Stegostoma tigrinum: one gene and its partner. The protein of the gene in region 1 purifies or fractionates together with the protein of each later gene. This does not show direct contact. Links are inferred from orthologs where the notes say so. Each region holds a gene or a part of one and is shown on either strand. Other genes may lie near its edges. The genes, in order: clcn5b and tmem9.

Evidence for each region.
Region 2: the proteins of clcn5b (region 1) and tmem9 purify together in Homo sapiens (co-immunoprecipitation; 3 studies listed by BioGRID and IntAct, with this or other methods). This does not show direct contact. The link is inferred for Stegostoma tigrinum from reciprocal best matches to the Homo sapiens genes CLCN5 and TMEM9.

What each region holds. Positions count from the first base shown.
Region 1 is NC_081368.1:43,902,826-43,910,768, forward strand, and holds the start of clcn5b (H(+)/Cl(-) exchange transporter 5), read left to right. Parts: upstream 1-4,909; 5' UTR 4,910-5,035; exon of another isoform or gene 5,036-5,245; intron 5,246-5,333; exon of another isoform or gene 5,334-5,434; intron 5,435-7,943. UniProt on the Homo sapiens protein: Proton-coupled chloride transporter. Functions as antiport system and exchanges chloride ions against protons. Important for normal acidification of the endosome lumen. May play an important role in renal tubular function.
Region 2 is NC_081374.1:43,003,921-43,011,258, reverse strand, and holds the start of tmem9 (transmembrane protein 9), read right to left. Parts: upstream 3,082-7,338; 5' UTR 2,979-3,081; coding exon 2,910-2,978; intron 1-2,909. UniProt on the Homo sapiens protein: Transmembrane protein that binds to and facilitates the assembly of lysosomal proton-transporting V-type ATPase (v-ATPase), resulting in enhanced lysosomal acidification and trafficking.

The DNA of each region.
Region 1 (7,943 bases):
CGTCACCTGGAAGTGTGTTGCTGCTTTCCTTCTCCCTTGAGATCTTTAACTTCTGCTTCAGGTGGGCCCTCTCCAAATCCCCCTCGTCAGAGGAGCTCTTATAGCCCACCTGTAGCTGCCTCTTCCCACCTGATGGTTGCGGTTCCTGGGCCCGCCGACGCACCTTCCTCCTTGCTTTCCGGACCATCGTCCACTCCCCTGTCCACTCGCCTGTCGCCACCTCCATCGACTCCGGGTTGTCGGGGGGGAGCGGAGCCTGCAGGGGCGCTTTGCTGGCCTCGGGCCCATCCTGCGGGGCTGGGCCCCCCTGCACAACCTGGCCCTCCTGCACATTAGTGGGGTCCTTGCAGGGCCCTGGTGCCTTCCTCTCCTCTGGGGGGTGCTGGCCCCGCATTGCCCTTGCCGGCGACCTGGGCGTAGGTGGTCCCCCGCTGCGGGCATGCCCTATAGAGGTGGCCTGCTTCCCCGCAAAGGTTGCAGCTTTTCTCTTGTGGGCAATCCTTTGCAAGGTGTCCCTCCTCCCTGCAGTTCCTGCAGATGGTGGCTTTGCAGTCGGCCGCCACGTGACCTGACCTACCACAGGCATGGCAGACTTTAGGTTGCCCTGCATAGGTCAGGTAGCCCTTGCTTCCGCCGATCACGAAGCTGGACGGTAGGTGTATGACGTTCCCGTCCGCGCCCATCCTCAGCATCATCTTGACCTGCCTCTTACTGGTCCAGATGCCAAAGGGGTCCATGATGTGAGTTAGGTCCCCTTCCACCTCCACGTACCTTCCAAGGAAGGTCAGGACATCAACTGCTGGCACATGCGGGTTGTACATGTGTACAGTCACCATACGGCTCCTCTGCGCTGGCATCACGAACAGCGGGACAGCGGTCAATATAGAGAGGGGGCCCTCACCTCCTTTCTCCTTGAAAACCTCCAGGAAGCACTCGCAAAGCTTGGCACTCCTGAAGGTCACGTCGTAAAAACCTCCTCCGGGGAAATCCTGCAGGCAGTAAATGTCCGCAGTAGCGAACCCACAACAGTCCAACAGGACCCTCTTCACAAAGAAGGTGCGGTCCACAGGTGCACCTTCATCGACCTTCTTCACGGAAACACGGATGGTGTTCCGGTCCCCCTGACCTGGGGCACAAGCACTTGCCGCAGCCATCGTTGCAGGTTGGCTGCTCCCCTGAACCAGCATTAGGCCGAAGCTAGCATTAAGATCCACTGGTTGCAAGGGTGCACAGCCAACCCGACGTCTTCCTTTCACCTCCAACACAGCGCTCACCTCCTCTCGGTCCACAAGAGAGTGGGTCTTTATTTTGTTCCAGATGTAAGCTGGTTCACTGAGCTTGAAGGTGTGTTCCCAGATGTTTTGTCACCATTCTAGGTAACATCAACAGTGAGCCTCCGACAAAGCGCTGGTGTTATGTCCTAATTTCTATTTATCTGGTTAGGTTTCCTTGGGTTGGTGATGTCATTTCCTGTTCTTTTTCTCAGGGGATGGTAGATTGGCTCCAAATCAATGTGTTTGTTGATGGAGTTCCGGTTGGAATGCCATGCTTCTAGGAATTCCCATGCGTGTCTCTGTTTGGCTTGTCCTAGGATGGATGTGTTGACCCAATCAAAGTGGTGTCCTTCCTCATCTGTATGTAAGGATACTAGTGATAGTGGGTCATGTCGTTTTGTGGCTAGTTGATGTTCATGTATTCTGGTGGCTAGCTTTCTGCCAGTTTGTCCAATGTAATGTTTGTCACAGTTCTTGCAAGGTATTTTGTAGATGATGTTCGTTTTGCTTGGGAGGAGGGAAGTGTACGACGATAACAGGCATTAGAAAGGTAGGCAGGTGTAGGTACACGTAAATGGTTTGGGTGGGAACCTGAGAAAGTATGAAGCCTGTGGAGTTAATTCAGTGAGTTAACAGGAAACAAATGTGGATGTTTGGGGGCCCACGGAAATGTTCAGCTGGAAACCACTGGAATAGGACAGCTTACTGTCACCTTCCATCAAGATGTAAATGGAAAGTGTACAATGGGAAAGAAAATGGCTGTGAACACACACAGAGTTGGTGAGGTAAGTAACTCAACCAATGAGGGAGTGCACTGCAGCAATCACCAATCGTAGGGCTCCCAAAGTTAAATCCCATGCAATGTACAGCACACAGGCTGTCTACAATCTGGCCATCCAGAAGCAGTGATCTGTCTCTGCATTTTGCACCCTTTGGCACAACCGCTATTGTACAACTTATTAACAGCTACATCTTTGAGCCAAGATCTAAAGATGTTCAAAGGGGAGGGTGAATGGTGTTCAACATGTATACATTGTCTGCCCCACCTCCCACATTTAGATAGTGCACTGCATTTTCATCACAGATCATTATCCATTGAGCCTCATCTGTGGCCACGAGTGCTGCCAGAATGTGTGCAAAGGCTTTTAACCCCAATGCAGACTGACTTATAGTTAAAACCAGGAACTTTTATGCCATACAAGCCTTTTCCACCCACGCCGCCAAACAGTGCTCAATACATTTCCTTCTCTTTCCTGTGGTCTATCATAGTCCACTAATCGTGGTCCACTTCCTGGTCCTGTAGTGGGATAGTAGAAGCATGACAGTTGAGCCCATGGAGGGGCTGGACGAGTGGAGGAAGAGGACTCGGCCACCTCTGCACTGTCCTGAGTGGAACATGCCAAAGATCCTGTGTGGTTCTGCCTTAGGCTGATCTCAGGAGACACCTAACCAATCTCCTTGTGAGGTGGTAGCAGCTGCACTGGAGTCAAGGTTTCCTGTTTTGTAATGCTGCCACGAAGACTGTGGTCCAGAGGATGAATGGCTGGGCCAATGGAGCGCTGGTGTGTCCTCCTCTCCAAATGATCCTGCTGCTAATGGCTCGGTTCTTCAGGGCAGTTGCCAACCTATCCATGGAACAGCCAGATGTTGCATGAGTCATTGCACTACTGCAGCTTCTGGGCAATGAAGGCTATTGTGTTCCATAGGCATGTCTGTCCTGACAGCTGACACACAGGTCCTCTCTGCCTGCAGCTGAGTAGATGCCTGGTCTGCATCACCACCTGCAAATTTCCCTCCAATCCACATCCTCCAACCTGACTTCAAAATATATCTCCAAATATTATCATCCCTCCCTAGCAATATTGAGCATGCACCTGCACCACATGGACTGTAGCAGTTTAAGGTAGTTGAGCACCCTCTTCTCAAGAGCGATTAAGGATAGGCAATGAATGTGGATTGAGCCAATGGTGCCTTCATTCCATGAATGAATTTTAAAAGTTGCCATCATTTTGAACTGAGGTTTCAATAGCAGAAGCTATTGCTTGCATATCAAAAGACTTTAACAATTAAGGTTAGAGACTTTAATAAATGAAGGTTGGGTTTTGGTATTGCTAGTAGCTTAAACTTACATTTTGTGTAAATATGTGCATGAACAGGAATCAGGAAGTATACAAGTTTTATTTTTTGCTCTGCTTCCTCGACCCACATGCAAGAAATGTTGGCATGAACAAGTTGAATTCAAGGATCTGTTTTGTACTGTATGACTCTATGACCTCCATCTCCACTACCTACTGAGGCAGAGAGTTTCAAAGTTGTGCACCCTCAGAGAGAAAAATATATCCCTCTCCCCTGTCCGAAAATGGCAAACCTTAACTTTAAAAGTGTCACCTGGACTCATCCACCAGAGTAAATATCTATTCCACGTCCATCATGTCTAGACCATTTAAGGTCTTATCAATTTCAATCAAATCTAGTGAAAACAAGCCCAACCCCTCTTTTTTTAATAAAACATCCCATTCATCACAAGTATCAATCGACTTTTGAATAAAATACACTAGACTGCTTTTTTTGATGTGTCTGCTGAGGCAATTCTAGAGGAGAGGGTAAACATTTGACTCGAATGAGGGTCTCTACAACATATTCTGATCTCCGTATGCTTTTCCCAGAGCACCCCTGCAGCAAGGGCTACCTGGTCGGCAGTGACTTAATAGGACAATTATCCTTATTGTGGAATTGAATTACAATTTTCTTTTGGTTAACAGGCCCATTGAAATGGAGGGATGATGTTTCACCGTCTGAGTTGTGATCCACATGAGGCGTTTCATTAAGGCCTTGATATATTATAGTGTTCCTGGTCAGAACATAGATATTTTTATTTTGAGATTTTGGACTGAAATTAAGAAAACTGGACACTGCTTTGAAAAGCGGAGAATGAAGAAAGAGTTGTTTGAAACTTGGAAAAACAAATGAAACTAATGAACGTGTGAGAGTGGACAGAATCCTACATAAACCCCTAAATGACATACAGTATAGCATGAAATCACGAAGAATTGTATGAGGCACCAAATGAGGTCTTTCTTCGCGTTAGGAGCACATCGCAAAGGAGTTCCAGAGGTTGAAGTGGGATTCTCGTTAGGGAGCATTTTTTTTCCAGCTTTGGCAGAAATGGGGAAATTAGCACCCCACCTTAGAGGCAAGCACTGAGATATCCATAGGATAAGTGTAGTTTAGTGTAAAGGCAGGGCATCCACTATCCCGGGAAGGGTATCATAGTCTCCAAAACCAGATCCTGCCAATTGTCTTCTTACCAAGCATGTCCAAAAGGAGCATATCGTATTAGCTCTGTAGATCGCCAATGAAAATATCCTATTAAGATGTACAATTAACTGTTTAGATATCACATCTTCCCCCTTTCTACGTCCAGTCGCTTTGACACTATTCTTGATAAAATATCATTTTATAATCGCAAGTATTTCGAAAGGAAATGTAAACGAATAAAATACTGGATGTCGAACTCGAAAGTTGAAGGAAACGAATGCAAATATATCTCTGCCTTTTTACCCATCTGTTCAGCCCCTTTCTCGCTGAGATCAGTGTGAGCTACTGCCCTCGATGGACTAGGCCCGGTTTCCATGGTGACTGCATGGCCCCGCTATCACTTCCGGGGGTGTTGGTGAGGAGGTCGCAGTGGAGGTTGTGATGTGTCGGAACTTTAACGGTGTGGGTTCCAGGCCGGCCCTGTCCTGCCCTCTTGGCCTCTGGTATGTTGCTGCTGCCGCTGCCGCTGCCGAGGACAACGCTGGTCTAATCACGGGATAGAGCTGGGGGAGGGGCACAGGGACCAGCGCAGGGTTCCAGCTGTCAGGTCGGTGACTCACTCGTCTCTTTCCAGTCACTTCCTCTTCGGTCCATCTCCTGTAAATTTCATCTTGTTTTCACGAGTTTATCTCCAGTGGGACGCCCTGAGCTCGGTACTTCATTTGATCAGTTACATCCGTGATGCCTGTAACAGGGTTTGTTTCCGTTGCATACAAACATTAGCGTATTGAAGTGTTGCAGTTTCTCCCCCTTCTACCGAATACCTTCTCTCGACTTTCAGAATTACTCCTTCACCCAAAACCAGATCTCGTATCAAATATTCCCAAACAGATCAAACAGATGTGAGTTTATCCAGCCAGCGAAGTAATTTGGCAGGGATTTGTCACATGATATTTAATAATGTTAATGGACGATTTGTTTACTGATAAGATTGTGTTCTTGAAGGCAGTGACTCTGTATGTTTAGTCTCTAGTAACGTTTATGTGGGGATTACGGGATCACTTTGTTCCAAGCTATTTCTCAATAATTTCACAGTGGCTTTGCTATATATTCGTAAACTCATTTTAGGTTTGAGAATTGCTAAGACAAGTACTTCTACCTGGTTCTGAGTACTTTGAGTCAAATCTGAATAATGCGTTTGATTTTCTTGGTGAGTGCAAGGTTGACTGAAAAGCTGAGATCTTGCACTACTGTATTTATGTTAAGAAATGAAACATTAGTTTATTGCTCTTGATTTAGACATCTCATTTAGGAAAATATTGTAAAATTAATAGGTGTCAATTTTTTGGTTTTGATTTTCAGGCTGGATTCTATAATTTTCTGATGCAATGTTGTCGCATATACTGCATTTTTATCTTAACAAGTAAAGATTAAAGAGCCATACAGCACAGAAACAGACCGTTTGGTCAAACCAGACCATGCCGACCATAATCTCAAACTAAACCAGGCCCATGTCCTTCCAAACATTTCTTATTCGTGCACTTGTCTAAATGTCTTTTAAATATAACTGTACCCACATCCACCACATCCTCTGGAAGTTCATTCCATACACAAACCACTCTTTTAATAAAAAATGCCCCTCGTGTCTTTTTTAACTCTTTCTCCTCTCACCTTAGAAATATGCCCCTTGATCTTGAAATCCCCTACCCCAGGGAAAAGATACTTGCCATTCACCTTACTTTATCCCTCCTAATTTTATAAATCTCTATAAGGTCACCCCTCAACCTCCTACCTCTGAGTGAATAAAGTCCCAGCCTATTCCAACTTCCCTTTATAATACAAACCCGCCATTCCCAGTAACATCCTGGTAAATCTCTTGTGAACCCTCTCTAGCATTATAATATACTTCCTATAACAGGGTAATGAGAACTGGACATGGTATGCTAGAAGACACTTCACCAATTTCCTTTACAACCTCAACATAATGTCACTCAGAGGCCTGAGCAATGATGGCAAGCCTGCTAAATGCCTTCTCAACCACCCTATCTACATGTGTTGCAAACTTAAAAGAATTATGTACCTGAATCCTGTCTGTTCGACAACACTCCTCAAGGCCTTCCTTTTGATTGTGTAATTGCTGTCCTTGTTTGTTCTACTAAAATGCAATATCTTACATTTATCCAGATTAAACTCCATCTGCCAGTCTTCAGCCCATTGACCTAACTAATCAAGATCTCTTTGTAATCTTAGTCTTCTTCACTGTTGACCAAGCCACCAGTTTTGGAGTCATCTGCAAACTTACTAACTATGCCTTCTATATTCTCATGTAAATCATTTATATAAATGACGAACAAAAGTGTACCCCGTACTGATCACTGTGGAATGCTACTGGTCACAGACCTCCAGCCTGAAAAGTGACCCTCCACTGTCACTCTGTCTTCTGCTGTTAAGCTATTTTTGTATCCAATTGGCAAGCTCACCCTGAATCCTGTGCCATCTAACTTTAGTAATTAGTCTATCAGGTGGAACCTTGTCAATGGCTTTACTAGAGTCCAAGTAAGCAATGTCTACCACTCGACACATATCAATCTTCTTGGCTACTTGCTCAAAAAACTCAATTAATTTGTGAGACTCTACTTCCCTCATTTAAAAAAAAAGTGCAGATTGACTATCCCTAATTGTACCTTACTCTCCAAAATATATATAAATCCTAAATTTCAGAATCACTTTCAACAACTTACCCACCACCAAAGTCAGACTCACCGGTCTATAGTTCCCAGTCTTCCCCTTACAGCCCTTCTTAAACAAAGGCACAACATTAGCCCCTCTCCAGTCATCTGGCATTCCACCCATAGTTATAGATGATACTAATATTTTTGCGAGGGGAGCTTCCCACAGTGACCCAGGATACACTCGATCAAGTACTGGAGATTTATCCACCTTTTATATTTTCTAAGATCTCCAGCCCTTCCTCTCCTGTCACCATGTGAACTGTTTTCAAAACTTCAATATTTATTTCCCTCAATTCTCTAGCCTCTGTTTCTTTCTCCATAATAAAAGCTGATGCAAAATAATCATTTAATATTACCTTATTTTCCAAGGCTATCTCATATCCTCTATTTGCTGACCTGATCCCCCTCTTAAGAATGCCTGTAGTCCCTTTATACTCTTCAAGAGATTCATTTGAACCTTGTTGTCTACGTCTAAGATTCTTGACTGGAACCTCAATATCTTTATTCACCTGTTGTTCTCTCATCCTTTGGGTCTTACCTTTCACTCTGACTAGAACACAATGACTTTGAACTCTTTTGCCTCCCTGTTATCAGACTTTCCTTTACCTGCGAACAGTATGCTCCATTCAATTTTTGAAAATTCTTGTCTCCTACAATTAAAATCTGCCTTACTCCAATT
Region 2 (7,338 bases), on another chromosome or scaffold:
AAAAAAAATTGTTTCTTGACAGAGGTGTAATATTAATTTGAGAATTACACCAAAAACCTCTCTGGCCATGAAAAACTAATTTTGTGTTTGATAAGTGTCACTTTTCCACAGCAAAAATTTCTTGTTACTTCCTCGTTTGCTCTCTGAAAATTCATCAATTTGCTTAAGTTTCTATATGGTATCAATCCAGTGGAATACAGAGATTGCCTGTGGCTGGTGGCAAAACGTAAACAATGCCAGAAAAGAGTAACTTTGTGGCACAGAGTCTGGTAGATTTTCTGGGCATGGTTTTTTGACAGTAATTCAGCATCTCACTTTATCAATGACTGAAAAATCTGAGCCGTTGATATCTTGCTTTATATACATACGTATATATAATAGAATACAAACTGTAAAGAAAAAGACATGCAATTGTATAACATTTTCTTGAACACTTTGTCTAAAAACATCTGATACCCAACTTTTGAAGTGCAGTCTCTGTGGTAATGTACATAACAATGACAGCCAATTCACATTCTGCAAACTCTCACCAAAAAAAGAAGTCAATATAACCAGACAATCTGTTTCTGTGATGTTAAATGAGGAACAAATATTGGCCAGGACACCATGTTAATGCTCTTGCTCTTCCACAAACAGTACTATGGGATCTTCTGCATCCACCTCAACAGCAATGGAATCAGTTTAACGTAAGGCACCTCTAATAATTATGCATTCCCTCAGTCCTGCACCAGAATGTCAGCCTTGATTTTTGTATTCATGGCTTAGAGAGAGGAACTTTGAGTCTAAGGCAACAGTGTTACAAAATGAATCAAGACAACATCTGCATAGTTGTTTTTTTTAAAAGATTCTCCCACCACTTCGATGGATGAGACTTCAGCAAAAATAAACAAAGAAAGTAGTTTGTCACATGCAATATCATCATTCAGCCTATTCTTGATTTGCATAACTGACCACAAAACATGGAATCCCTACAGTGTAGAAGCAGGCTATTTGGCCCATTGAATCCACACTGATCCTCTGAACAGCATCCCATCCAGACTTGTCCCCCTATCCTATCCCTATAATCCATCATTTCCCACGGCTAATCAACCTATCCTGCACATCCCTGGACACTATAGGCAATTTAGCATTGCCAATCCACTTAATCTGCACAATTTTGGATTTAGGAGGAGCACCCAGAGGAAACCCATGCAGACACAGGGAGAACATGTAAACTCCACACAGGCAGATATCCAAGGGTGGAATCGAACACAGATCCCTGGTGCTGTGATGCAACAATGCTAACCACTGAGCCACTGTGCTGTCCGCAAATCCTTCATGTGAAGCCAATGATTTTTGTCATTTATATAAATGATTTGGACATGAATACAGGGAATATGGTTAGTAAGAGTGTAGATGAGACCAAAATTGGTGTGGTGAACAGCAAAGGTGGTTATCTTAGAGTATAACATGACCTTGGACTGATGAGCTGAGGAGTGGCAGATGGAGTTTAGATAAATGTGAGGTGTTGCATTTTGGCAAGGCGAACCAGAGCATGGCGATTCAGACAATACGAACAGCATCAGCAGGCACAGCATCATGAAGAGTTTACTCCCCTTCATGTTCTCCTGATGGACAGACAGAAAGTGACGATCTCAGGCCCAAGGCTTCAACAGTCAGCGACGTCAGACCTGAGGCAAGTTCATGTTGAGCAGTGCTGAACAGAGAGGCCTTGCAGTGCAGGTTCATAGTTCCTTGAAGGCGGAGTTGCAGGTAGACAAGATAGTGAAGGTGGTGTTTGGTACATTTGCCTTTATTTGTCAGCGCATTTGAGTATACAAATTAAGATGTCATGTTGGAGCTGTACAGGACACTAGATAGGCCACTTTTTGAACACCGTGCTCAATTCTAGTCTCCCTGCTACAGGAGAGATGAGTTAAACTTGAAAAGGTACAGAAAAGATTAACAAGGATGAAATCAGGTTTGAAGGGTTTGAGCTTTAGGGAGAGGTTGATTGGGCTGGGGCTATTTTCCCTGGAGCGTTGGAGGCTGAGGGGTGACCTTATAGACGTTTATAAAATCATGAGGGGGGGGGGCATGGATAAGATGAATAGCCCAAGGTCTTTTTCCCAGGATAGGGGAGTCCAAAACTAGAGGGCAGAGGTTTAAGGTGAAAGAAGAAAGATCTAAAAGGGACCTAAGGGGAAGCATTTTCATGCAGAGGTGTATATGGAATTAGCTGCTGCAGGAAGTGGTGGATGCTATGCTGATCTGATTACATTTAAATGGCATCTGGATGTACACACAAATAGGAAGGGTTCGGGGCATATGGGTCAAATGCTGGCAAACGAGACTAGAATAATTTAGGATAATCTGGTCAGCACGGACAAGTTGGACAGAGTCTGTTTCCGAGCCGTACAACTTTATAACTCTATGAATAAGATGCTGGCGTGGGCTTTGTGCCACGTGAACCTGTCCTGAACACACTTAACTCAGTTATCCTCAAACATCAAAGTTGCTTGATGACAGAGTTCTCCATTTGGGTCTGATCAAAGTCGTATTTTCCAGTTCATTTGCAAACTCTGAAATTAGCTTCTGGATTGCCTTCATATCAAACTTAGGGATGTCCACTTCAGCTGAGCCTTGTAGGCAGATACTCACCCATATGGGATATAACATATACACAAGTAACCATATTTACAACATAAATTGCATCACTTTATATAAGTAGAATTTCAAAGCCTTCACTAGCCTAGTACTGATACAGTGGAGGATCCTTGCTCACGGCCCTATTGGATGAAATATCATAATTTTTCTATATTATTTAGACTAATTCCCATTACATGAACCTGTGGAATAAGTCCCCCCTCTCTCTCTCCAACACCTTCAGGGCAGAGACAGAGACTGCGGCCTGGACACCAGCATCTTACCTTGGACGATTCAGACAACACGAACAGCATCAGCAGGCACAACATCATGAAGACTTTACTCCCCTCCATGTTCTCCTGATGGACAGACAGAAAGTGACGCTCTCAGGCCCAAGGATTCAACAGTCGGCGACCTCAAGCCTGAACTCTCTTCAACCCTACGCAGCACCAAGCATCAAATCCCGCCCTTAGCCTGTCTCCATTGGTGAAACCTTTCCCCGCCCCACACAAAGTCACGCGATTATTGGGCTTTAACGATGTCTATCAGTTACGGTTCCTGCCGCCGTGCTTTATGGGAGCTGTAGTTCTGTGCCTGCGAAACTGGGCAGTATTCAACCGTGAAACTTCAAAGCCCAGAGGGCCATCTGAGTCCACTTCTGTCAATGAAACTGCCCGATTGAGGATTAACCCCCGTCTTCATCGGGAAGGGCAAATTCTCAACTTGGTTTAAGCAAACAACTTTTGTTCCGTTTGAAAAGTGTGTTTATGTTCAGAATTCTTGCACTCCCAATTATCATGTTGATAATATGGACTAAGTATTGTATATGTCAGCAATATTTCCAAATTCTAGCAAGAACTGAGGTGGAAATTACTTACTGACAGAAGGCCAATCTAGTAAAAGGTGCTCTTTTAAGTGTGAAGTTTCCGGAAGAAACAGCTATCCAAGACCAAGTGTCACAGATTTCAACATTTCAAACATCTTTTGCTGAGAATTATACTGAGTTATGGGCCATTTGCCACATTGGTGTAACCGAGAATTGCCACGTAGAAATTCTTCTCATTCTTGTATTTTTATCTCAGTGATTCCTCATCTAATCACAATAATTTCATTTCTATTTCAATTCAAATTACCCCTCTGTTGCTTAAAGTAACCATCTATCCTTCCCCACTGCCATATTAACCAATTCACAGCAATTCCATAAATGTTCGCCATCACACATGACCCCTCTGTTCCATGATCTAGGCAAAGCCATCTCCTTACCACTCACTGAGATAACGACGTGCAGAGCTGGATGAACACAGCAGGCCAAGCAGCAAAAAAAGGAGCAGGAAAGCTGACGTTTTGGGTCGAGACCCTTCTTCAGAAAAACCATACCACTCACTACCCACTTTCATCTGCATCTGCACCTGAAGTAAACTTCCACAATGATGCTTACAGCTGGATTGGCGCACTCCACCTGTGCAGCTTTTGGCTCCCTATGTGTCATTGATAATAATGCATTTACCTGAACTGAATTGAATTGAATTAGCTTTATTGTCACACGTACTCAAATGGGTACAGTGAAAAGTTTATAAGTTGCCACTTACAGCATCACCTTACGTACAAAGGGTAACTAGGTGCAAATTTTTCAATTACAAGATTAGTTATAGTAAAACAATGGCACCAATACATGGTGCTATCTTGGATACAAAGATACCTAGGTACAACCCTTAGTTACAGAATAGAGAAATGAAGGAGAAAAAAGTGGCAGCTATACACAGTATAATGCAGATGACACCAAGATTGGTGGAGTTTGCAGACAACACTAAGATTGGTGAAGTAGCAGATAATGAAGGGGACTGTCGGAGAATGCAGCAGAATATAGATAGATTGGAGAGTTGGGTGAAGAAATGACAGATGGAGTTCAATTCAGGCAAATGCAAGGTGATGAATTTTGGAAGATCCAATTCAAGAGCGAACTATACAGTAAATGGAAAATCCCTGGGGAAAATTGATGCACAGAGAGATCTGGGTGTTCAGGTCCATTGTACTCTGAAGGTGGCAATGCAGGTCAATAGAATGGTCAAGAAGGCATACGGCATGCTTTCATTCATCAGACGGGGTATTGAGTACAAGAGTTGGCAGGTCATGTTGCAGTTGTATAGGACTTTGGTTCGGCCACATTTGGAGTACTGTGTGTAGTTCTGGTCGCCACATCGCCTAAAGGATGTGGATACTTTACAGAGGAGGTTCACCAGGATGTTGCCTGGTATGAAGGGCGCTAGGTATGAAGAGGGGTTGAGTAGATTAGGATTATTTACATTAGAAGGATGGAGGTTGAGGGGGGACCTGATTGAGATCTTACAAAATCATGAGACATATAGACAGGGTGGATAGCAAGAAGCTTTTTCCCAGAGTGGGGCACTCAATTACTAGGGGTCATGATTTCAAGGGGAGAGGGGAAAAGTTTAGGGGAGATATGCGTGGAAAGTTCTTTACACAGAGGGTGGTGGGTGCCTGGAATGCATTGCCAGCGGAGGTGGTAGAGGCAGGCATAATAGCGTCATTTAAGATGTATCTAGACAGATACATGAATGGGCAGGGAGCAGAGGGATACAGATCCTTGGAAAATAGGCTCTGAGGAAAGGTTCTGAGGAAGGGTCATGGGACCTGAAATGTTAACTCTGTTTTGTCTTCCACAGATGCTGCCAGACCTGCTGAGCGTTTCCAGCAACTTTGTTTTTGTTCTTGGAAAATAGGCGACAGGTTTAGGTAGAGGATCTGGATCGGCACAGACTTGGAGGGCAGCAGGGCCTGTTCCTGAGCTGTAATTTTCTTTATTCTTTGATTGATAACCATAGGTCAGAAAAATAAGAAGCAAAGTTAGAAAGACAGACATCACTGTCTCCTACCAAGGGCTCTCCGCAGCAGGCCAGTGTAGGGGTCTGACCATGGGAAGGCGTCATGTCCCACACTGGGCCACAACTTTCGCTCCCACACTGTGTTGGTGACATCCCTGCTCTGGGTCGCTGGTTGCCAGTCTGCCAACCTTGGGTGCTGGTTGCTGATACCCCTGCTCGGGGCATCCGAACCTGCTTTGGAGGCCGGGTGTCCAAGGCTGAGGGTGCAAAAAGACAGAAGTCAAGAAGAAAAACCACAGAAGGGAGGAAAAGAGGTAGAAAAAAATTGTGCGGAGCGGATGAGCTCCAGCTGGTGTATCTTACTTCGCCAGCATCTTACTGTAAGGAAGATAACTGATAACTATTAAAAACTGGTATCTTCAGTGAATGATATCCCATGCTGTGGAGAATTCCCTCCTGAACCCTCTCTATTTTTCATTCTCATGCTCTGTGAATCATCTACTCCCTTGATGTTTGTCTGCAGTTCCCTCTCACTCAAATTGTTCAATGTGGCATATGGCTGCCATCTTTTCATCGCCAGAAAAGACAACGGCAGAAACCGAAACAAAAACCGAAAGAACTGCAGATGATGGAAATCAGAAGCTAAACAGCAGAAACATCTTGTCGGCCCTGCAAAGACCTCCTTATTATCATATGGGGACTCATGCCAAAATTGGGAGAACTGTCCCACAGACTAATCAATCAACAGCCTGACATAGTTATACTCATGGAATAATACCTTACAGACAATATCATAGACACCACCATCACCATCCCTGTGTATGTGCTATCCACTGACAGTACAGACCCGTGGAAATGGCAGAATAGTGGTATAGAGTTCGGAAGCAATTGCCCTGAAAATCCCCAACTTTCACTCTGCTGCCCATGAAATCTCATGGCATCACGTTAGATAATCCTGCTGGTTGCAAACCTACTGTCAATACCCTCATCTTCTTCCTGTCAAATGATGAAACAGCATTTTTCCATGTTGAACAAGACTCGAAGGAAGCACTGCGCATTGGCAAGATCATAGGGTGTATGCTGGCAAGTTGGTGGAATAGTGGTAATATCATTGAACCAGAAATCCAGATCATTAGGCTTATTCTTTGGGGTATGGGCTGGAATCCTACTCTGGAAGATGGTGAAATTGGTGTTCACTAAAATATACAAATAACAGAAAAATTAGTCCACTGGTGACCTAGGAACATTGTCGGTCACTCAAATAGAAACTGCTGGAAAAGCGCAGCAGGTCTGGCAGCATCTGTGGGCAGAAATCAGAGTTAACGTTTCAGGTCCAGTGACCCTTCCTGAGAAATGAATCCTGAAGAAGCGTCACTAGACCTGAAACGTTAACTCTGATTTCTGTCCACAGATGCTGCTAGACCCGCTGAGCTTTTCCAGCAAGTTCTGTTTTGATTATGTGAGCAATTAGGAGCCTCATAGCATCATTGGAACCAGATTGTCTGACCATCACCACATTGCTAATTATGTGAGCTTGATGTGTCAAAATAGTTGTCATGTTTTCAAAATTTTCCAGAAGCAGTTCATTGGCCATAAAGATATCCTAATGTCATGTCAGGTGCTCTATAAATGCAAACTCTTTCAACCTTTTCTTGGCTTGGTTCTTGCATAAAAATACAGCTTATTATGGTGGTCACCTCTGTGGCCAACACTGATTGCTGAAATGAAACTTTCCAGTTCAAGGTCACTTGCCTTGATGAATATGAAAAAGGGAGCCCATGTTAGTTATATTAGCCAGCTGGAGCTCCGTATTGGCATGAGGAAATCAGTATTCCTCACCGTGCAGTGAGGTTTGTGTGTTGGACAACAC